2 linked regions of the Rhinolophus ferrumequinum genome follow. The protein of the gene in region 2 interacts with the protein of the main gene of each other region in a biochemical or structural test. Links are inferred from orthologs where the notes say so. Each region holds a gene or a part of one and is shown on either strand. Other genes may lie near its edges.

Evidence for each region.
Region 1: the proteins of PJA1 (region 2) and NSMCE3 form a complex in vitro, tested with the Homo sapiens proteins (2 studies listed by BioGRID). The link is inferred for Rhinolophus ferrumequinum from reciprocal best matches to the Homo sapiens genes PJA1 and NSMCE3.

What each region holds. Positions count from the first base shown.
Region 1 is NC_046311.1:13,569,602-13,580,383, reverse strand, and holds NSMCE3 (non-structural maintenance of chromosomes element 3 homolog), read right to left. Parts: upstream 4,793-10,782; 5' UTR 4,713-4,792; coding exon 3,810-4,712; 3' UTR 3,258-3,809; downstream 1-3,257. UniProt on the Homo sapiens protein: Component of the SMC5-SMC6 complex, a complex involved in repair of DNA double-strand breaks by homologous recombination. The complex may promote sister chromatid homologous recombination by recruiting the SMC1-SMC3 cohesin complex to double-strand breaks.
Region 2 is NC_046284.1:3,153,842-3,165,740, reverse strand, and holds PJA1 (E3 ubiquitin-protein ligase Praja-1), read right to left. Parts: upstream 5,075-11,899; 5' UTR 4,945-5,074; intron 2,765-4,944; 5' UTR 2,698-2,764; coding exon 997-2,697; 3' UTR 562-996; downstream 1-561. UniProt on the Homo sapiens protein: Has E2-dependent E3 ubiquitin-protein ligase activity. Ubiquitinates MAGED1 antigen leading to its subsequent degradation by proteasome. May be involved in protein sorting.

The sequences.
Region 1 (10,782 bases), on a different chromosome or scaffold from region 2:
AAGGTAAATGAATACACTGAAAATTTGGTGAGGAATACAATATTTACAAAATCTCAAAGTATCTCTTCATACAAGTTATTTGTTTATTACAAAGAAAAATGGAAAATTTCACAGTGGAGTGGGATGGTAGGAAACCACCTTAACCAAAATAATCAGTTACAAAATAACGGGGCAAATTAAAACTTTCAAGGATCCAGAAAGAAAAACACAGATACTCCTGTCAAAAAGGCATAACTCAAATCTCGTCACAAGGCAACAGCAGACAAACCCCAACTGAGGGAGGTTCTACAAGCCTGCACTCAAGTGACAAGATCATGAAAAGGAAGGACTCTAGGTTTGCAGACTGAAGGAGACTAAAGAAACATGGTAACTAAATGCACTCAAGTAGTTCAGGGGAAAAAAAAATTCCTTGCACTGTTTGGAAAGGAAGGGAAAGGAAGGGAGGAGGAGGAAGGGGACAGGAGGGAAACAACCCAATTCAAGATATTTATGGGGGGGGGGAAGCTAACAGCAAACACACTTGATGTGAAACATTAAAAATTATTCCCTTTAAAATCAGAAACATCCTTGAGGTTGCCATTTCTTTTCCATAATGCATTGCAGTTCTAGCCAATGCCAAAGATGTAAGAATTGGAAGAGGAAGTGTTTTTCTCAGTTTGTGGAGAGCTTGCTTCCAAGCATATCCTCTGCCTGGCTCAAATGAATTTTTTGTAAGAATTCTCTTCAGGTTTGGACATTCTTACATCAACCCTTGTCCCTTGGTAGCTGGGGGTAGGTTGGGGGGATTGGTTCTAGGACCCCTAAGGATACCAATATCCACAGATGCTCAAGTCCCCCATATAAAATGGCAGAGGAACGCATACAGTCGGCCCTCCATGTCTGCAGACTCCCAACCTTTGATCGAAAACAGTACAGGTATTCACTGAAAAAAATCCACGTATAAGTAGACCCACAGAGTTCAAACCACTGTTGTTGAAGGGTCAACTGTACTTGAATGGCTGAAATTAGGTGAAATTTGAAACATTGACCTACAGGCGAGTCCAAACCACGTGGAGTGTCAGGCCCATGATAGCCTGGCCCACTATAAGCTTTCTGGTTCCATCTAATGCTGCTAATCACCATGTCTTATAAGATGATTTGGCTTTGTAGGGACCAGCGTGCTTATTTATGCCTCAGGGCCTTTGCACATACTCTATTTATGGCTGAATCCCTTTTGTTCCCCTTTCCACCTGGTGAACCACCGCTCAAGCTTATCAACACTGCTCACAAAAAGAAAAAAAAAACACAAAAGAATTGGAAAAACAAAACAAAACATATTATGATGCTATAGAATTATAGCATGATATTGGCAAATGGACAGCAAATAAACCAAGTCACTTCGAGCCATAAATTTGCTTACATATGAGAAACAGCTATATAATAAAGAGTATATTATAAATCAGTGTGGAAAGAATGAACTATAAAAAAACTGGTGCTATGCGATCCATATAGGAAAAACGTGAAAATTATATCCATATTTCACATCATACACAAAAACAGATTAAAAACATAAACATGAAAGTCAAAGTTTTAAAAACTTAAAATACTAGGAAATATCTTTACAAATATTAGGATTACGGAGAATTCATTGATGGTAAATTAACTTCTCTATGAGAAAAGTGTGGGAGAGGGTATTTGCCTGAGATGTAAGGAACAACGGGTGTTGGGTAATGATAATTTCACCATAAAGATGAAAATGTCAGTATTAGAACACACGAGAGGGGAAGGCAGTCAGTGAGATTAAGGGGACCAGTAAGCAGGATGCTTTAGTGAAGGTAATTTATACACTAAAATAAAATGCAAACGAAAAAAATCTTCAAGGACCAACTATACTCCATTGATGAAATAAATGCAAATTCCGGTTCAACAGGAAGAAATAAAGCCCAATAAGGAACCGACTGCGCTCTCCATTTCAGCGCATACCATATACCCACCCACCACTCTTCCAGATGACATTTCTCTGTTGAGTGGTGATCAAATCTACTTTTTTTTTTGAGCTAAAGTATCGCCTTTCATGGTGGATGTGCAGTACCTTCCCCCAAACGACTACTTCCTCCTCCACTGAATACTTATTTGTTGACTCTGTGTACCAACAACATTTTGCCAGAAGCTCTGGGGGAACACTATGAGACCATGAGCTCTTTTCTTCACTCATTTAATGCACGTAACAAACTATTATTATGTTATTTTCCCCATTTTACAGATAAGGAAATTGAGAGTCAGAGAGCTTAAAAGCTACCCCAAATCCCCATGCTGAAATAGCATGGGCCATAATTCAAATTTGTCAACCGCAAAACCCACACCCTTTTCACTATACCAGTGACCCTCAAAGCTCCAGTCTAACTTTCCTGCTCTTAAGCTATTTTATGTGGGCTCTCCTCACCACATATCTACCATGTGATGTTTCTCCAGAAAACCAAGAGTCAGACTAGAAGAATAGTGTCATAACTTTTGAACCAGTAATTCCAATTCTAGAAATGATTTGGAAAATAATGAAAAAAGACCTTAAAAAATTTTTTAACTGTTCCAGTCCAAGAATCATAAACAAATTAAAAAAAAAAAATTTAAGGAATTACTAAAATTGGCCACACCAAGCACTGTGCCAAGAACTTTACATACACTTCCATATCTATCACACCATTACACACACACACACACACACACACAATCATAGAGGTACCATAAGCCCATATTCTAGGTGAGGAAACATCCCTAAGCAAGTTAAGTAACCTGCCCAAATTTATATGGCTAGTTACCCTTGTTTCCCAGGAAATAAGACCTAGCGGGACAATCAGCTCTAATGTGTCTTTAGGAGCAAAAATTAATATAAGACCCGGTCTTATTTTACTATAATACAAGACAGGGTCTTATATAATACTGGGTCTTATATTAATTTTTGCTCCAAAAGATGCATTAGACCTGATTGTCCCGTGAGGTCTTATTTTTGGCAAAACACGGTAGGTGCAGCCAGGACTAAATCCAGGTAGTCTGATTCTCAAGTAGGCTGGTTAATCACTAATGGTTTCATCAACTTTTTTGTGACCCACAGTAAGAAATATATTGTACATCATGATCCAATCTGCAGGAACACATATAAAAAGTAAAGCAACTTCTACAAAACACTTAACATGTAGCAAAAACTGCCTTTAAGATGCTGGTTTTAAGTCATGAAATTAATTTCTCATGATTCACAATTTAAAAAATGCACAATGCATAACTGCTTCAAAGATATAGTATTTATTATAACTATAGTAGCAAAAACAAGGAAAACCAAACCGACCTAAGTGGTAGTTATGAAAGTAAAAAACATTTACATTGCTTGGAACAATGCTTACATATGTAGGAAATATATAAATATAAAATAGCTGTGTTAAGGCAAAAAGGGATACAGGCAGTCACATTTTTATTTTTAATTTGCAAAGGCTTTTCTTTTTCCTTACAAACTGGGGTAGTTAAGAGGCCAGGTTAACAGCCACTTCCTTTTTATTTTCTGGGCGCCAAAGCAATTTACTGATGTGTTCTTCCTTCAATCTCTGTTCCAGATCACAGCACAAACGTTTTCCCATTAGTTTTACAAAGCTAGCCAAATTTTTATACCCACATATACAGACAGTAAAACACGCCAAATAAATCCTCTCCCGAATGGTTTTGTCAACGACACTTTGGAACCACGTACCTTGTAGTACTAACAGAACACAACTCTGCAAACACATCCTACAGCTACACACATTTAAGCCTCACAGAAAAGTGCTCCCGCCACCCCCACCTCTTCAACCGGTGCTTTTGACCCTTCTCCCCGCCGCGGTTTCGAGGGACGGGGCTGGGCCCGCCGTCTGAGGCCGGGCCCGGGCCTCCTCCTCCGCCAAAGCCTCACAGTACTGCGCGGGCCAGTCCTTGGGGTCCTGCTTGTGGACTTTGGCCACGAACTTGAGGACCTTCATCTTGCTGGTTTCCAGGTTGGTGCGCGGGCCCCACTGGAATTCGTAGTCGACCGGATCCGTGTGGGGAATCCGCCGGTACTCCAGGTAACGCTGCCGCACGAAGTCTTCGGTTATGAGTTTCTTTGGGTCCCCGAAGATTAAATGCTTCTTGGTGGGGAACACCCCCAGGCGCCGCAGGAAGTCCCAGACCTCGGTCTCCTTGATGCTGTTGCCCTTCATGAAGATGAGCCCCAGGACGATCATGAGGAGGCCGGTGGTGGGCGTGCCCTGGTCGCCCCTCAGCTCCGCGTCCTCCTCCACCGGCTCCAGGCTGTTGATGAGAATGTAGCTGTTGCTCTTGGGCTCCAGCTCCACCAGCTTGTACCCGAACACGTACTGCAGGCGCTCGGCGGCCAGCCTCAGGAGGTCGGCGAAGATGTCCCTGTAGTCGCCGATCACGTGCTTCAGCATGTCGCTGCGCTTGATCGGGATCTTCTTCTGGTCTTTGATCAGCAAGAACTGCACCAGCTCGGCCACCTTCAGCTCCAGCTGCTTCTGGGACCTGGGCCCCACGGCCGGGGACGCCTCGGCCCGGCGGGCGCGCTGAGGCGAGCTGCCCACCCCGCGGGAGGTGCTCGGGGCCTCCTCGGCGACGCCGCCTCTCGCGGCCCGGCTGTCTCCGCCGCGGCCCCAGTCCTTCTCCCTCTCGGCCTGGCCGCCAAGGCGGCCCCGGTGTCTCGGCTTCTGCAACATGTCGCCGGCGGTGACGGCTGGGCGACCGCGCGGACTCCGGCGGGCGGTAACCGGCAGCAGCGGCAGCTGAGGGAAAGCGGCGCGCGGCGAGGATGGGGGGGAGGGGCGCGCGACACGCCGGGGCGGGGCCAGAGGGAGCGCGCGCCGCGTCGAGACTGCGCGCTGCGTCGGCGGGGCCTGCGCGGCGCGTCACGGAGGCGACGTGTTGCGTGCGCGGAGTCTCTTGGCCGCCGCGGCTTTCTGCGCAGCCCCGCGGGGTCACCGCAGTGCTTTTATTAGTCGGTGCTTAAAAGTGTCGTCCGTTCCCAGCCGCGCAGACAGGGAACCGGAGCCCAGACTCCTCAAGAGGAGTGCGGCTACGTTCGCGCCCGCACAGGCTCAGGGAAGTGTTTTCAAGTCGGGAATAGTTTTAGATGGAGCGAAGTCAAGGAATGGGGGAGAAACATAAGGTGAAGAGAAAGCGAAGAGCGTGCAAGTGAAGAAAAAGCATTTCCTTTTACACACAGCTGGACGTAAAAAGAAAAGACCCAGAAGACGCCTAGATTGTTTTGCCTTCGCCACTCCCCTCGCACAAGTTTAAACCCTCCTCACCATTTACCACCATTACTTTCACGAATGCCCCTGAGAGTCTATTAAAAACGAATGTTTGGTAAAGCAGGCTTGCCTCGCAAGCAGGACTCCCCCCATCTTTTCACGATTTCAGTGTTTATATTTTTGCATTATACTCCATCAGCTAGACAACTATGACCAAGCCACCACATACAGTGGTTTTGCTTGGTCAAATGAGTTTATCTTCTGGAACGCACGTGATCACGTGAACTGCCTTGGGCTCACAACCACAGTTTTAGCAGAAATGGAAAAAAAGGATGCTACAAACAGAGAAACGTGTTCTCTCAAGAGATTACCATTTAATTTTGGGCATCACTGATCAAGAATTGCAATAATGTGAATCTCTTAAATTTCTCAATTCTTAAAATATCTGCCTTAGGGCTCGATGAGAAAGAGAAGAGAACCCAGGGGTATCATCCCTCATAATCTGTGATGTGTGCTTTGTGTATATATATATTTTTTTAATTGTGCAACTATAATAGCCAACATGAGTCATTTCATTAACTCAAACTATCTGTGTCTGCTGCCATTACTTCTACAGATCGTAGTAATTGTGTTCCTTTTCTATTTACTGACTTGCAAAGAATTAACAATTTCCCTCTGTCTTTTTAAACTACCCAGAAAGTGGGTAACCTCTTCAAAGAACCAAATCAAATTGAGTTTCTCTTTAATGCAAATATATTCAAAGGAAAGCAATTCAAAACACATTATTTGAATAATAGCATCAAAACACAATCTTATTAAAAATTTCATTAAGTGTTAGCATAAAATTTTTGTTAGTAATTCAATATGAAAATGCAATCTGATAATGACACTGGAGCTGCACTAAATGTAAAATGATATTCCATGTTATGATGCAAGTATGCTCGCTAAAATCTGGTAAACTATGAGTAATAACTTTCTGTTCCATACAGGATCTAACAATATATTCTCAAGCATCAATCTTAATGACAGAAGACTACTATGAAAAACAAATATATCATCGAGGCATTCATTTTTTTTTTACAATGAGAAAATCCATCTGCTTCAGTTTTCTTGCAAATTAAAATTTGGACTGAGGATCAAAGAAAAACTACTGCAGCGGAGAATTCTGCAAAAGGTTCCTCCAATTGTGCCCTGAGTAAAAAATCAGCAACCATGAGATAACAGAGAAATGGAAAATAAGATGAAAGCCATCGTCAACAACTGGGCTGGTTTTTCAGTGTTTTTTTTTTTTTTTTTTTTTCTCGCAAAAGTGTTCACTTAAATTACCAAGTAGCCCCGCTAGTCAAGCTACCCCAGTGACTGTGAAAATCAGCTGTGTCCATCAGTGGAATCTTTAGTCAGATAGCAGATTGTCAAACTCAAAATGGGTGAGAAAAGATACCAGTTTAAAGTCTTAAAACACCTCTCTACACTGTGTCCAGAAGAATACAAGTGAGAAAATATCACATGATAATATTAGAATGAAGCTTATATACTGCATGGAGAAGGAGCCCAGACCCCCACTCCACCTTAGATTGACATAGTGTTTGAGGGAAAATTGTTGTCATGGTGATGGCAATAACAACACTAACACTAATAATAATAAATATAAACAACAGCAGCTGATGATTATTACAAAGGTAACTGTAGGTCAGACCCTATTCTAAGTGATCTGCACCTAGTACTTCATTTAATCCCCACAACAACCCCATGAGGCCCCATTTATTATGTTTTTCTTCTTACAAATGAAGAAACTGAAGCACAGAGAAGAATATTAACTCTTTTGAGGTCCTACAGCAAGAAAGTGCTAGATTTGAACCTGAACTAAGGCGTTCTGCCTCCAGAGACTGCCCTTAACCACACAATGCAAAGGGAACATGATGTGGTGTCCTTGAAAAAGTAAAAAGTCTGGGAGTCGGCCTGCCCTAAGTTAGATACCTGTATGACCCTGGGAAAGCTACTGACACTCCTTTCAGTTTCCAAATCAACAAAATAAGATTGATAATGATTTGCTTCTTTCCAGGGCGTTTATATTAAGGAAAATATTTGAGGACTACATAACGCTGTGTGAAGAAAGATGTTTACTGCAGCGAACCACGTGTGCACGAAAATCAGACGAAAGTCTGAAAAAATATATCACAGTGCTATTAAAAGTATTTTCTTTTAAAAATGAAATGCAATGTTTATTTTCTTGCTTTGGGAGATCAGTGAAAATATACTTTCAATCAATTTTAACATCTCAGGGACACCAGGCCATAACAGTTTTACACATTCAAATTTCCAGTAAATTCAGTGTAATTTGCATGGGACATTTGTGACTTTTTGTTTAGCCAGTGAAGTACTAAAGACAAGTGGTTAAAAAAAGAAAAACATTTTCAAACACTTTATGTTAATGACTTTAGTACTTTTATTACTAGACCCAAAAGAAAACAAAAATTATTTGAGGCAAAAAATTAGCTAGCTAAGATTTAGTTGCATTGAAAAAAGAAATGCCTACTACCAACTGCTGTTTAGACGTCACTAATTAATGGCTTTATTTCGTCTCCTTGGTAGCAAATGCCTGCCAAGAAGCTCTAATCATCCTTATTATCTACTGCATTCTCTTGGTTCCTTGGTATTTCTTGCAGAATCAGAGGAAGGTTTTACATTTCCTGGCAGTGACCTAGTACAAAAAAGTAAGTAAGGACGTTGGGGGAATAAAAGCAATGATCAAAGTAGGCAGCCAGCATGTGCGAGTGGCTCTGCTGCCTCTTCTAGTGGAAGAAAAGGGGGGCCGTGTGCAGCATGTGAGCAAAGGGGTTGGGTGGGGGTAGGGGCTATTTCGGCGGGTAGACAGTAGGAAAAGCAATGCAGCAACTCTCTTTTCAAGAAATATAAATCTTCCGATGACCCACGGCCTTTTACTTACGAAAATCATGAAGGTCTATTAAGTTATAAAATTACAAACACATGAGGTCTCAATAGTGGCCAATAATTTCTTTTCGTTGGCTGTTTTTGCCCCTGTTCTGCATCTTTACCCTTTGGTAATTGCTTCTTCCCATTTCTAGGAGACCCTGGAAAAAGCTCTGCCTTCATTTTCTGGGTGCATGTGATTCAGGCGGGCCACAGTGACTGGATTGGGAGTCCAGTCAGACTCCTTTTAGGGGTTCATATGAGCTCTCTCTGAGCTAACAAGCTGAAGGGGGATGTAAGCCTAGCTATCTCTGCCTTGCTTGGGAATAATCTGCAACATGGTGAAGGCAACTCAAAGGAGATCTAAGCGATGGAGAAACAGTCCGAATGGTGCTAACTGAAGTCCTGGATCCCAAGTGCAAGGCTGAACTCCTGGGATGACTAATTACTGGAGTAAGTAAAATCTGCTTTTGCTTTATCTGCTTCAAGTTGGTTCCCCTCACTTGAAACTGAACCAATTCTGGCTAAGTGGCATCCAAACCCATTACACAGAGGAAAAGAGGGTACTAAGGAACAAGAGTTTGTTTCAAAGTCACGGCAATAGACACGGTTAATATTACCTGCAAAGATATCTGAATGTAATGAGAGGTGATCTGAATAAAATTTGACAGTTTAGTTAGGGTTCTTGGCAGTGTTCTGTGGTTGGGGAACATGCTTATGATTTTAGTTGCCAGCAATAAGTGCAAGTAAGAAACCATGAAAGATTGTTTCTCCTTATAGAATGTACACATGAGCTAACCTGGTGATTTACCATGTAGAAAGGCGTTTCAGAGAACGTAGAACACACGCTGAAGCACCTGCTATGCCAGAGTAGCTCTTTTCTCCATGCTTAACCCAAAGCATTTCTCCAGTGGCCACACCATGCACGATGACAGACACCTCATTCTTTCCTCCTGGACTCCACTTTGGCCCTGAGCAGAGGTATAGATAACCACAGGGCAAGCGCACCGAAAAGGAGAATGGACGGGGCTAATTTAACCCTGCGAGGGACTAGGCAGATAGAACTGTTCACAGTAGCGAAAAGGTAGAAATGACCCCAATGTCTGCTTACTGATGAATGGAGAAAATGTATGCCAATACCACAGAGTATTTTTCAGCTTTAAAAAAGAATGAAGGACAAACACAGGCCATCATGTGGATGCACTTCAAAAACATGCTAAATGAATACAGCCACTCACCAAACAGCGTATATTGTATAATGCAACTTCCACGAAATGTCTAGAATAGGCAAATCCACAGAGGCGAAAAGTAGATTGATTAATGGTTGCCTAGAACTGGGGGAGGCGGGGAATGGGGGAATCACTACTCTTGGGGTGACTGAACATGTCATAAAATTAGGTGAAGATGATGGTTGCATAACTAAGCATGCTAAAAAACACTGAATCACGTACTTGACACAGGTGAACTTTCTCAGTGAACCTGTTTTAAAAAGAAGAACTTGACGAAGGCCAAGGTGAGGAATCTCATTAATAAGTTGCTCCTTCTGAAGTCTAACGACATGAGACAGAAAAGAAGATGAATAAACCAGGAACGAGAACCATCAAATGCATGCACTTAGGGCGCCCAGACTTTCTGCACCAACAATAACACAAAAAGAATTTTTCATTGAAAAGTTAAACTAAAATGGAGTAGGGCCAGCGGTTAAAATAATGATTTCCATCACTATCCCAGACTATGTTTGTTTGTATTTTAGGTGATGAACGAACATCTTTATGCTGCACGGCTGACAGAACAGTTTCATCCTTCCTCTGACACCAGTCTGCTCTGCATCCTGACAAAAGCCCTTCACTGGTCAGGTCTCAGCCTGGTCCCCTGAAGCAAGACTGGGTTGAGTTAGGCAAACTCTTCAGTATTGATATACGAAAAAGTCCTCAAAAGTACTCGAAAGTCTCACGGACATGGAAAGAAAAGAACCCATCCTGAAAGTAACAAAGAAATGCCTATTTCCTCATTTCTTAGGTGTTGGTATGCTGGAGCTTCCTGAGTTTCCTACAGCATCTGCTGGTAAAACAACGAGTTTCCTAATGTGACAATTTTTCTTTAAGTGACAACAACTCTGTGACTTCTAGGACAAACAGAGGTCTCCACTTAAAACTACTCTGCAGGAATGAATCCTCAACAGTAGCAAAACATCTCAGGAAATGGGGGCTCCAGCTGTCCCTGCTACCTCCTGGCTTCCTGCAGCACAGACGTCTGACACAGGTAGGCTTTCAGGGCTGCATCAATAGCTCTGGCCCTAGAATAGTCTTTGTTTTAAATTTATTTTTCAATTACTGTTGAATACAATATTAGTTTCAAGTGTATAACATAGTGGTTAGACATTTATATACCTTATGAAGTGATCACCTTGATAAATCTAGAACCCACCTGACACCATTGTTACTGTGTTATTATTGACTATATTTCCTGTGCTGTTCTTTACATCCCTGTGAGTATTTTGTACCTGCCAATCTGTACTTTTTAATCTCTTTCACCTACCCCCCAAACCCCTCCCATTGGCAACCACCAATTTGTTCTTTGTATCTGGGAGTTTGTTTCTATTTAA
Region 2 (11,899 bases):
CTCTCTTTATTGGAGAGAGAGAGATCTGAAGCCAATATGGCCAAATGTTAAGGTCTGTTCGCTCTATGTAGGTGGGTACTTATATATTTTCCGCAGCATTTGTCTGCCATATATTTTTCTGTTCCTCTTGCATCACTGAGTTAAGGTATACAATCCACACACAGCTTTATTTTTTTACCCATTCCCTCTGGGAGTTTCTGTTTTCTGAAAGGGGATTTTAACTCCTTCACCCCTACACTCAGTGCGCATTTACTCCTACCAGTGTTCTTCATTTTTACCGTGCTTTCTTGTTCTTTCTTTGCTTCCCGTAGACTGACAAGAGTATTCTCTCTTTGGCCTTTGCCCCGTAGTAGTTTGATAATCATACACTTTATTCCTACTTTTAGTATCATTACCCTTAACTTTTTGCTGCTGTCAGAGTCAGCATTTTCAGTGAAACGAAAGTTTTCCTACTATTGGGAGCACCAAAAAAACCCTATTTTTGATGCAAATGCAAGGGATCCATCACAAAGGCACTTAGTACCTCCGTCTTAGACAAAACCAGACAATTCCACTATACCATGAAATACCAAAAGAATTTTAATAAGCTTTTACGGCACTGCAATTACAGGAACATTAACCCATAACATGCAACAGAACTGGTGATGCCTTTTGGACTTATTTAACAGATGAACTTGACGTTACAGTTAACAGCAACATATTCTACTGAAGAAAACGAATGCAACTGATTTCAATGTTCAGGTTAGAAAAGGTATGTTCTTACTGCAATGTCAAGTAGCATTTAGAAAGTTTAGTTTGTCCTTTCTAACCTCTAAAAGACAGTATGACTTTTACTGCAATCATACACAACTCTTTTCACATTGGAAATGATCACAAGAAATCAACAGGTGTAGATTAATCATTGGTTTCATTTCACTTGTTAATTCTGAGGGCTCCTGCAGTGTTGTGGATTTGGGATGGGGAAAATCAGCAGACCAGGAGTAAAGAGCCTTGGTCTTAGAGTGGGGGAGGGAACATGCAGCGGCACACAGGGCAGGTGCCAGACTTCTGGAGCCAGATAGACACACAGGGCTTGTGGAAATAGTGGTGGCATGGCAGCTCTGTCGCCACCTCCCCCTTCACATATTCACTGCAACAGATGGGGCAGCACATTTCTTGGCCCACTGCGCTGTGGTCTTCAGTGACCAGGATCTCGGGAAGAGTGTTGATGCTCTCCTTGCTCGCTGGTGGGTTGGCAACCTCCACATCTACAGCGAGGGACTCCAAGTGTGCGAGGGCAGTTTCCATTGCTTGGGCCAGGCGTTCTTCGAGTGCCATGTATGTCAGGAACTGCGGATCCACGTAAGAAATGGCTTCAGCCACCCCCAACCCATCTGCAAACCCATCGAAGAGGCTCCAATCCACCTCTAGGTCTTCACTCACGCTGGAGTCGTCTTCAAGGTTATTGTTGCCGTCCAGCATGAAGACGCCAGGCTGCAGAAACTCCTGGCCCGAATCATTCTCGCCCTCACTGCCACTCTCATTTTCAGTGTATTGCAGCCAAGGGGCTTCTCCTCCTTCCGGGGATGCCTGCTCCGCCTCCCGAAGAGATGGTCCTCGGACTTCAAGTTCTTTGCTGCCACTGCTGCAGGGGCTGGCGCCGGCAGCGCCATTCACGAGGCCTGGCTCAGGTTCATGCTCTTCTTTCCCTGGCAGGGTGTCCCAGCTTTCACCGCTGGACGACAGGTTGTGCTCCCGACCCCGATACTTCCGCCGCAAAGCAGCAGTCCACTCTTTGTCACTGTCTGACTCTTCATCGCAGTATTTGTAGTAATCGTCGCTGTACGTCCAGAAGTCAGGGTCGGCCATGGTGCGTCGCCGTCTCGGCAGCTTTTCTGGCTTCACTTGCTCGTTCCTGGCCTCCCTCTTGTCCTCGGGGTACTTCGGCTCAGAGTGGCCACTTGAACTCTCACCTCTGCCTCTTCTTGCCAGGCTATCTGAGGGGCCTTCATCAGTGCTGGCAGTACCCCTCCACCTGGAGGTACTGTGTGGCATATCGTCATCGTCATCAGTATCAAAAAATATTTTTGGTTTCGCGCAGCTGGGACTGGCCAGATTTCTGATTTTGGGCCTCACCACGGGTTCCTCTCCACCCTTTGGGGTGTTTTCCCCACCACCACAAAGACTCACAGGAGCCCTGCTGAGACGCACAGGAAAATTCTGCTCACGTCTCTCCCTCTCCAGGCTGTCGCCTTTTGCGGCCACCTTGCGGCCCACAACAGAGGTCTGAGAAGCCATGCTCTTCTGCTGCAGGAACCCAGCTCTGGCAGAGGGGGCTGGGTCTAGCTTGCTAAACTGGCCCCTCACATCATGGTTAAAACCAGGCAAGTGCGGGGGCATCCCAACCAAAGACCTTGCCCCTTTCTCTGCATCATCTTTAAACTTGCCAGTTTTCCCTCGTACTGGTACTGGCGCTAGTGCCACAGGCCCAGCCCCCTCCTCCTCGCTCTCATCTTCCCGCAAAGAGTCAATAGGTCCATAAGCCATTCCTCTTCTGCTACCCAGAAGCCTATACTCTCTTGGCGGGTACCTGGAGTAGTCCTCATTATCTACATTCAGGCCGCTTCCCAAGTTCTCACTGTCATCCCAGCGACGACGAACACTGGACAGTGGCAATCGGCTCCTCTTGGCGGTCTGACTGGGGGCTGGTCTGTGCATTGGGACTTCAGATGTCGTCTTTCTCTGGCTGGAAATCCTTTCCTGCTGGCTCGTGGATGGCCTGAAACTGACATAAGCATGCCTTCTTCCATACCTCCTGCCTGTGTGGGCCTGATACCCTCCTGCTGCCTTGGGCCCTAAAGGCTTGCTAGATTCCTGACCCACTGCTCTGCCTCGGGGTGGTTTGCAATACAGCTAGGCTCAAGTGGAAAGGCCCCTGTGCCCCACACACACTCTGGAGATGGGAAAATCCAATCAGTTCAGAAGAAAGGAACAGGGAGATTTAGCTCCAAGTCAGCAGGTAACAAAAAGAATACGGGGCCTTTGGAATTAGTTTTACTTTCTTCTAAGGCCTGTGGTAGCATTCCAGTGACTGGCAGGTGTATACCTGGAACACATTTTTGATGTTGGCAAAATGATAACAAAACTGGGTTTATAGGAAAGCCAGACTTCAGGAGAATCTGACAGAAGATGGCGTGAGGCAGGGGTGACTGGATGCTTGGAACGTGGGTGAAATACTATGAAATTGTGCCAACATGGAGAAAGGAAAGACCACTGAGGGATTTTTTTTATGTGATGTCTGCGTTTTTCTGAGCCCTGCAGACATACAGGACAATTGCAAATAGAAATAGAATGGGAAATACAGATCGGTGTATATGCATTGAGTGCCCATGTGTCTGTCAGGAGGAGAAGAGCAGGTGGAAGGGGAAATAGCAATCGTGCAATGGACAGATGCCTGTGTTTGCAGGGGGAAGGGGCAGATGACGGTGGCATTGGGAAGAGTTGTGTCACAGAATGAGACCCATTCTCGCTGTGGGTATAAAATGACAGGTGTGGATGGGGCGGCTTTAGAGGAGAGGGGCGTGTGTAAATATGAAAGAGAATGTTCGTGTTTGGTTGTATGTGTGGTGGCTGGAAGTCTGGAGGGACGCCTGCGTTTATGTGTCTGTGGCAGGTAAAGAAGCGTATGGTGGCATTGGACAGGAGTGTCCATGAGTTTGTGTGTGTTCGTCAAAACGGGAGGCAACAATGGGGAAATGTCAGTTTGAGCAAATATGTAGATGGCAGACAGCACTGGACAGGGATGTATGTGTGACCGGTGGTCGGGTGGCCAGCAATCAAAGAATGTCTGTATGCATGAATGTGGCTAGCGGCGGGGGGCGGGGGGGGGAAGGTGTCCCTGGAGAAGGATTTCTGTGAGTGTGTGCACCACAGGGACCAGCAAAGGAGAGCTGTCTTTGCACACTCGTAGCAGACAGGAGCATTTGGGACGGGTGTGTAAACACGTGTGGGGGAGCATTTATATGTAAGGGATATATGGGAGATGAGCCAGAGATAGGATATCCTTAAGTGGGTATATGGCCGGCAGAGAGACAGAGAGAGAGAGAGAGAGAGAGAGAAGGCACTGAAGGCTGTGACAGTGTGAGCATGTGTGTCCATGCGTGTATGGGGGAGGGGACGCACAGGAACCTTGAGTATAGGGGCAAGGAGGGGGGCTCTAATGGAAGGTTTCTGTGTGTATGTGTGCGTGCGTGCTTGTGTGTGTGTGTGTAGTCCCTGCATGAGTGCGTTTGTGGGTGTGTGTCCCCAGCTTGCACGCCTGAGAGACACCGGGAGGAGACAGCAGGAGGATGAGGGGGACAGACAGAGAGGGGGAAGGGCGACAATGTCATAAGGAGAGAGGGGAAAACGTTATCAGCTCAAATGGCAGATCCCAATCAACGTGCAAGGGGAAAACAGAAAGAAAAGGTCGGTGGGGGTATACTTTTTCCCTGGGAATAATGTGTTTTTCTGAAAACAATTATTTTCCTGGAAACAATATATTTACCTAAAATTTTTAACAATTTACCATTCAGCAAACCAACTGAAAAATGGGGGCAGAAAGGCCACAGAGTGCTCTGCAAAGGGGCCGAGAAGGGAGGCAGGGTGGGGGGAGGAGAAGCAGGGAAAGGTGGGAGACTGCCACGACCACCACTCCTTCTCTAACAGTGATTAAAGCCATTCGACTGCGGGGGTGCTGCGCCACACGAAAGGGGCTGAGGGACAGAGGATGGGGCCCCCAAACAGGCCGATGGATGACACAGGCCTCCGTCTGCAGTCAGGTCCCGCGTCCGCCCCACCCCTTCCCGAGGGGCGAGCCGGAAAATCTGTTCGCTAGACCTCCCCGAAATCCTCGCCCCGGTACCCGGCCATTCGCCCCACCGCCACGTCTGGATGAATGGAGGAAACCAACAGCGTTTCACTCACCGGTCCCGTCACACGCGCGCTCTCGGGAGGAGCAGAGCTCGCGGACCTCCGACCGCCACGACCGTCAAAGCCACTGCTCTGGGTCCTGCTCCTCCTCCGCCAGACAGCAGCGGGAGGGCGGCGACTGCGGCGGCGGAAGTGACGGTAGCGTCAGCTGGAGCCGCCCCCTTGATGTGGCGGGGGCGGCAGCTGCTCTAGACAAACCGGGGTGGGCCTAAAGCTTTATTTCATTTTAAATGATGAAATCGTCAAGGATACAGAAAAGGACAGCGAGAAATGTAACCAACAGCCAGCTTTAACAAATGTTAACCATTTAGCCATATTCCCTTCTGTTCTGGATTTTTTTTTTTTAATAAAACGAAATCTGCAAATTCTTTTTGATTAATTCCAATGTGAAAGTAATTATATTAATATATCATATCCTATGTTATATGTTATGGTTTGTACTGGAAGTATTAAAAATGTGAGACTGTATTTAGGATTGCAGTAAGCTTAAATTTTTTTAACCTGGTGGTTCAAGCAGATTGAACTGTTTCCAGTAGAATTTGTTGCTGTTAATCACAAAATCAAGCTTGTCTATCCACAAGAAATGATCAATCATGAAGCACAACACAGGTTCACATTCTGGTAATTGCTCTGCAGTTTAAAAACATTAGTTTCTCTAATATTTGCTACCAATGGAGACTTCCTTATGTTCACATCAACAGTGAAGTTTTGTTCTTACTGGAAATAAAATGCGTGATAGAAGAACAAAAAAATTTTAGGGGTAACAACAGAATAGAAATAAGATGTATAACTTTCAAACCATTAAAGAAGTAATATGTAGAACAAAGAGAAAAACTCAATCTAACAAAGGGCAGAAATGGGGTGAGAGGCAACCAGAAGGGATGTGAAAAAACCCAAGCAAAGCAAAAGGCAGGCAAAAATCCAAATACATCAGTACGTACTATGGATTCACATTGCCTATTAAAAATCAAACTCTCATTTTGAGCATTTCGTTTTTAGAAATCCAGTTATACACTCTTTCTATGAATCTCACCTAAAGCAAAAATAGGACTGGAAAATACATACATGCCAGTTAAATACTGGCAGAAATGAAAGAAGGAAGAAGAGAAGGAAGGGAGGGAAGGTGGGAGGGAGGAGAAGGAAGAAATTTTAAACAGAAAGAAAAAGAAGGGAAGAAGGAAGGAAAGAAGGAAGGAAAGAGACTTGTAGTAATGTTAAGATCAGAAAAATTAATAACTCAAAGTAAAAAGCTTTAAAGAGAACAAAATAGGTTGTTTCATTCACCGAGAAGATATAGTCGTTCAAATTTACATACCAAACAATGTAATTTCAAAATATATGAGGCAAATATTGTTAGAAATACAAAGAGAGATCAGAAAGTCTGCAATTCTAGCAGGAGACTGAAGCACACTTGTTATGGTATAGATAGATCAAATAGACTAATAAATCAGGATATACAGCGATTGAATGACAAAATTAATAAGCCTGATCCAATGTATATGTATTTTTGCACTCAAGAAAGGATGCATTTTTATCAAAAAATATTTCAAATATGCCAAACATGCAGAAAAGTAGAGTACAAACATGCACATTTGCAAGTACCTGTCACACAGATTGAGCAAATTGTCTTTTCTTCAGATCTTCAGGTCCTTCTGTTTTGAAGCAAAATGTTACAGTTGAAGCCCTCACTTTATCCTATTCATCTTTCTTCTTTTCCCAAAATGGTATCATAATAACTATATCCTTTTGTGGCTTAAATTTTCACTTATTTTTTGTAAATTTAGCAATTTCCTACATTGAAATCTAGGTAATTCATTTTTAACTGCTGAATACTATTGAATCAATTTTCCAATATGATTTTACCATAATATATTATTGTAGGGACTTCTGTTGCATGATTATCCAATTTATTTATCTCTTTCCTATCTGATAGACTTGGGCAATTTCTGTTGTGTGCAATTATAGGTGAGGATTTAATGAACATCCTAGCGCATGGCTCTTGTGGCCATATGGAAGAGTTTCTCTGGGGCAGTTCTGATATATTGATTCCCTTACCCTCCAGGGAAGATGGACCTGGCTTCACTCAGCTGCTGCCCTGGAGTCTATTGCCCCTGGTACAAAAATTAGCATTTTTAACGTGTGCTCTGATGTGAAAAGGATTGGGAAAAAAACTGCTCTAGCATATGCATGTTGAAGTGGAGTTTCTGGGTCAAAGGGTATGTAGTAGTATCTATGCTGCGTCACAAATTGCCCCCAAATTTAGCAGCTTAAAACAACAAACATTCGTTATATTACAATTACTGTGAGTCAGAAATCTATGAATGGCTTAGCTGGGTACCTCTGGTTCGCAGTCTCTCATGAGGTTGCACTCAAGCTGTCATCTGGGGCTGCAGTCTCACTTGCAGCCTCAGTTGGGGTGGGATGTCCACATCCAAACTCTTACGTGGCTGTTGGCAGGCCTCAGAAGATCTACTTCAAAGCTCAGTCATGTGCAGCCCTACCTAATACATAGAAACAAACACAGGGAGGCAGCTAAAATGGGGAGACAAAGAAACGTCCCAAATAAAAGAACAGAACAAAGGTCCAGAAAAAGAACTGAGGGAAATGGAGACAAGCAATCTATCAGATGCAGAGTTCAAAACACTGGTCATAAGAATGCTCAGTGACCTCAGGGAGAACTTCAACAGAGAGATAGGAAGCATAAAAATGGAGATGGAAACCATGAAAAAGAACCAGTCAGAAATAAAGGATACAATAACAGAAATAAAGACTATATTACAGGGAATCCACAGTAGGTTAGATGAAGCAGAGGATCCAACCAGCAATGGTAGAAGATAAGGTAGCAGAAAACACCCAACCAGAACAGCAAAAAGAAAAAAGAATCAAAAAAATAGAGGAGAGTTTAAGGGGCCGCTGGGACAATATCAAGCATACCAGAATTCGCATTATAGGGGTACCAGAAGGAGAAGAGAGAAAGCAAGGAATTTGAAAACCTGTTTGAAGAAATAATGACTGAAAGCTTTCCTAACCTGGCAAAGGAAAAAGACATACAAGCCCAGGAAGCGCAGCAAGTCCCAAACAATATGAACCCAAAGAGGCCCACACTAAGGCACATCATAATTAAAATACCAAAGGTTAAAGACAAAGCAAGAATCTTAAAAGCAGCAAGAGAAAGGCAGTTAGTTACCTGCAAGGGAGCTCCCATAAGACTGTCAGCTGATTTCTCAACAGGAACTTTGCAGGCCAGAAGGGAGTGGCAGGAAACATTCCAAGTGATGAAAAGCAACAACATACAACCAAGATTACTCTATCCAGCAAGGCTGTCATTTAGAATTGAAGGACAGATAAGGAGCTTCCCAGACAAGAAAACGCTGAAGGAGTTCATCACCACCAAACCAGTATTACAAGGAATCTTAGAGGGACTTCTTTAAGAAGGGAGGGGGGTGTTAAGGATGAGTAAAAGGGGAAGAGATTAAGGAAGTACAAATTGGTTGTTACACCGTAGTCATGGGGATGTAGGGTATAGCATAAGGGATACAGTCAATAATATTGTAATAACTAGATGTGGTCCAGGTAGGTACTAGATCTATCAGGGTGATAGATTGTAATGGGGTTGGGGGCAGGGTGAAAAAGGTGAATTGGTAGTTAATACAGCATGGGGAATATAATCAACAATGTTGTAAAGATCATGTGAGGTGCCAGAAGGGCACTGGACTTATCAAGGGGATCACTTCATAGACTGTATCCAATGCGCTATACACCTGAAGCTGAAGTAGAATAATATGGGATGTCAACTATAACTAAATACATAGATATATTTATAGTCACAGGATGTGGCATACAGCAAAAGGAAGTCGATGGTATTGTAACAGCTATATAAGATGTCAGAGGGGTAGTAGCTTGGGGGGTGAGTTATCTCTTTATGAGGAGTTTAAAGGTCTAACTAGTATGTTGCTTTGTACACCTGAAACTAATTAAAAAAAAAACTCAATCATGTAGTTGCTGTCAGGCTTCGATTCCTTGCCATGTAGGTCTATCCATAGACTTCCTGAGTCTCCTCACAACATGGCAGCTGGTGAGAGAGTGTGCCGGAGAGCACCCAAGATGGAAGACATAGTCCTTTTATGACTTAAGCACAGAAGTGACATCCCAACACTTTTGCTTTATCCTATTTATTAAAAGCGTGCCATGGATTTTGTCCATTTCATCTGTTATCAAATTTGTAGGCATAGAGTTTCATGTCTTTATTATCCTTTTAATGTCCATGGGATCGGTAGTGATGGCTCCTTTCTAATTTCTGATATTAGTAACTTTGTCTGCCCTCTTTTTTCTTTGCCAGCCTGGCTAGACACTTACCAACCTTACTAATATTTTTCAAAGAATCAGTTTTTGGTGTCTTTAATATTCTCTATTGTTCTGTTTTCAATTTCATATATTTCTGCTCTTTTATTATTTCTTTTCTACTGCTTACTTTGGATTAAAATTGCTTTTCTTTTTCTAGTTTCCAAAGATAGATGCTTAGATTATTGATTTTAGATCTGTCTTCTTTTCTAATAGGCATTCAATGCTATAAATTTCCCTCTAAGCACTTCTTTTGCTGCATCCCACAAATTTTGGTAAGTTATAGTTTCACTTTCATTTATTTCAAAATACTTAAAATTTCTCTTGAGACGTCTTAATCCATATGTTATATAGTAGTGTGTTGTTTAATCTCTAAATATTTTGAAATTTTCCCATCTATCTTCCTGTTATTGATTTCTAGTTTAATTCCACCGTGGTCTGAGAGGACACTTGGTATGATATTTATTCTTTTAAATTTGTTAAGGTGTGTTTTATGGCCCAGGGTGTGGTCTATCTTGGTGAAAGTTCCATGTGAGCTTGAGAAGAATGTGTTTCTGCTGTTGCTGGATGCAGTAGTCTATAGATGTCAGTTATATCTAGGTGATTGATGGTCCTGTTCAGTTCAACTATGTTCTTACTGATTTTCTGCCTGCTGGATCTGTCAATTACTAACAAAGGGGTGTTGAAGTCTCCCACCTATAATAGTGGATTTATCTATTTTTCCTTGTAGTTCTACCACTTTTTGCCCCACATATTTTGATGCTCTGTTGTCAGGTAGGTACACATTAAGGATTATTATGTCTTCTTGGAGAATTGACCCCTTTCATCATTATGTAATGGGCCTATTTATACCTGATAATTTTCCTTGTTCTGAAATCTGCTTTGTCTGGAATTAACATAGCTATTCCAGCTTTCTTTTTATTAATATTAGCATGTATATTTTCCTCTATCGATTTACTTTTATCTGTGCCTTTTAGTTGGGTCTTTAAAAAAAAAATCCTTTCTGATAGTCTCTGCCTTTTAATTGGTGTAGTTAGACCATTCACATTTAAAGTGATTATTGATATAGTTGGATTAATATCCACCATATTTGTAACTGTTTCCTATTCATTGCTCTTATTCTTTGTTCCTCTCTTTTTTTGTCTTCCACTCTTTTTCTGCCATCTCTGATTTTAAATGAGCATGTTATATGATTTCATTTTCTCTCCTCTCTTAAAATTTCAATAATATCTCTCATTTTCACATTTTTCAGTGGTTACCCTAGTGTTTGCAATATACATTTACAGCTAATCCAAGCCCACTTTCAAATGACACTACATACTAGTTCATGGGTAGTGCAGGTATTCTGTAAACGAATATTTCCAGTTTTTTCCTCCTGTCCCTTATAGCATTGCTGACGTTCATTTCACATATGCATAAGTTACAATCATCCAACACATTGTTGTTACTATTTTGTTGAACAGTTTTTTGTTAGATCAGTTAAGAATAAGAAAAAAATGGAAGATTTTATTTTATTTATACTTTCATTTACTCCTTCTCAAATGTTCTTCCTTTCTTTTGTGTGTGAGCTATATCATTTTTCTTCTTTATGAAGAACTTTTTTTAACATTTCTTCAAGGCAGATCTCAGAAGTGACACCCTAACACTTTTATCATATTTTATTAAAGGGAATTACTAGTTCTAGCCCACACTCACGGGGAGGTGATTACACAAGGGCAGGAATTCCAGGAGGTGGGGGGGTCTTTGGGGCAGGAGGGGTAGGAGTATTTCAGTGTCAATAGATACTATTGCCAATCCACTTTCCAAAGTGTTCGCACCAATTTTTTTCCACCCAGAATTTATTCACATCAGTTTTCTGCACACTCCACCACTTTTTTAAAAGATTTTTTTCTTTATTGGGGAAGGGGAACAGGACTTTATTGGGGAACAGTGTGTACTTCCAGGACTTTTTTCCAAGTCAAGTTGTTGTCCTTTCAGTCTTAGTTGTGGAGGGCGCAGCTCAGCTCCAGGTCTAGTTGCCGTTGCTAGTTGCAGGGGGTGCAGCCCACCATCCCTTGCAGGAGTCCAACCGGCAACCTTGTGGTTGAGAGGACGCACTCCAATCAATTGGGCCATCTGGGAGTTTGGCGGCAGCTCAGCTCAAGGTGCTGCATTCAATCTTAGTTGCAGGGGGTGGAACCCATCATCTTTTGCCGGAGTCAAGGAATTGAACCGGCAACCTTCTGGTTGAGAGCCCACTGGCCCATGTGGGAATCGAACCGGCAGCCTTCGGCATTAGGAGCATGGAGCTCTAACCGCCTGAGCCACCAGTCCGGCCCCACTCCACCGCTCTTTATACATTCAGACTTAAAATTGTTGCCAATCTGATGGCTATGTAAAATTGCTGTTTGACTTTGCTTTCCCCTAAATTACTAGAGAAGTCAAGCATCTTCTTGCATTTGTTGTTTAGATTTCTTCTTGTCTGAATTGTTTGTTCATATATTTTGTCCATTTTTCTGTCGGGGTGGTTTTTCTTATTATTATTGACTTCTAGGAATTATTTATATATTCTGGATACCAGATGTCAGTTATATTTGTACAGTTGTAAATATCTTCTTCTAGTTGATGT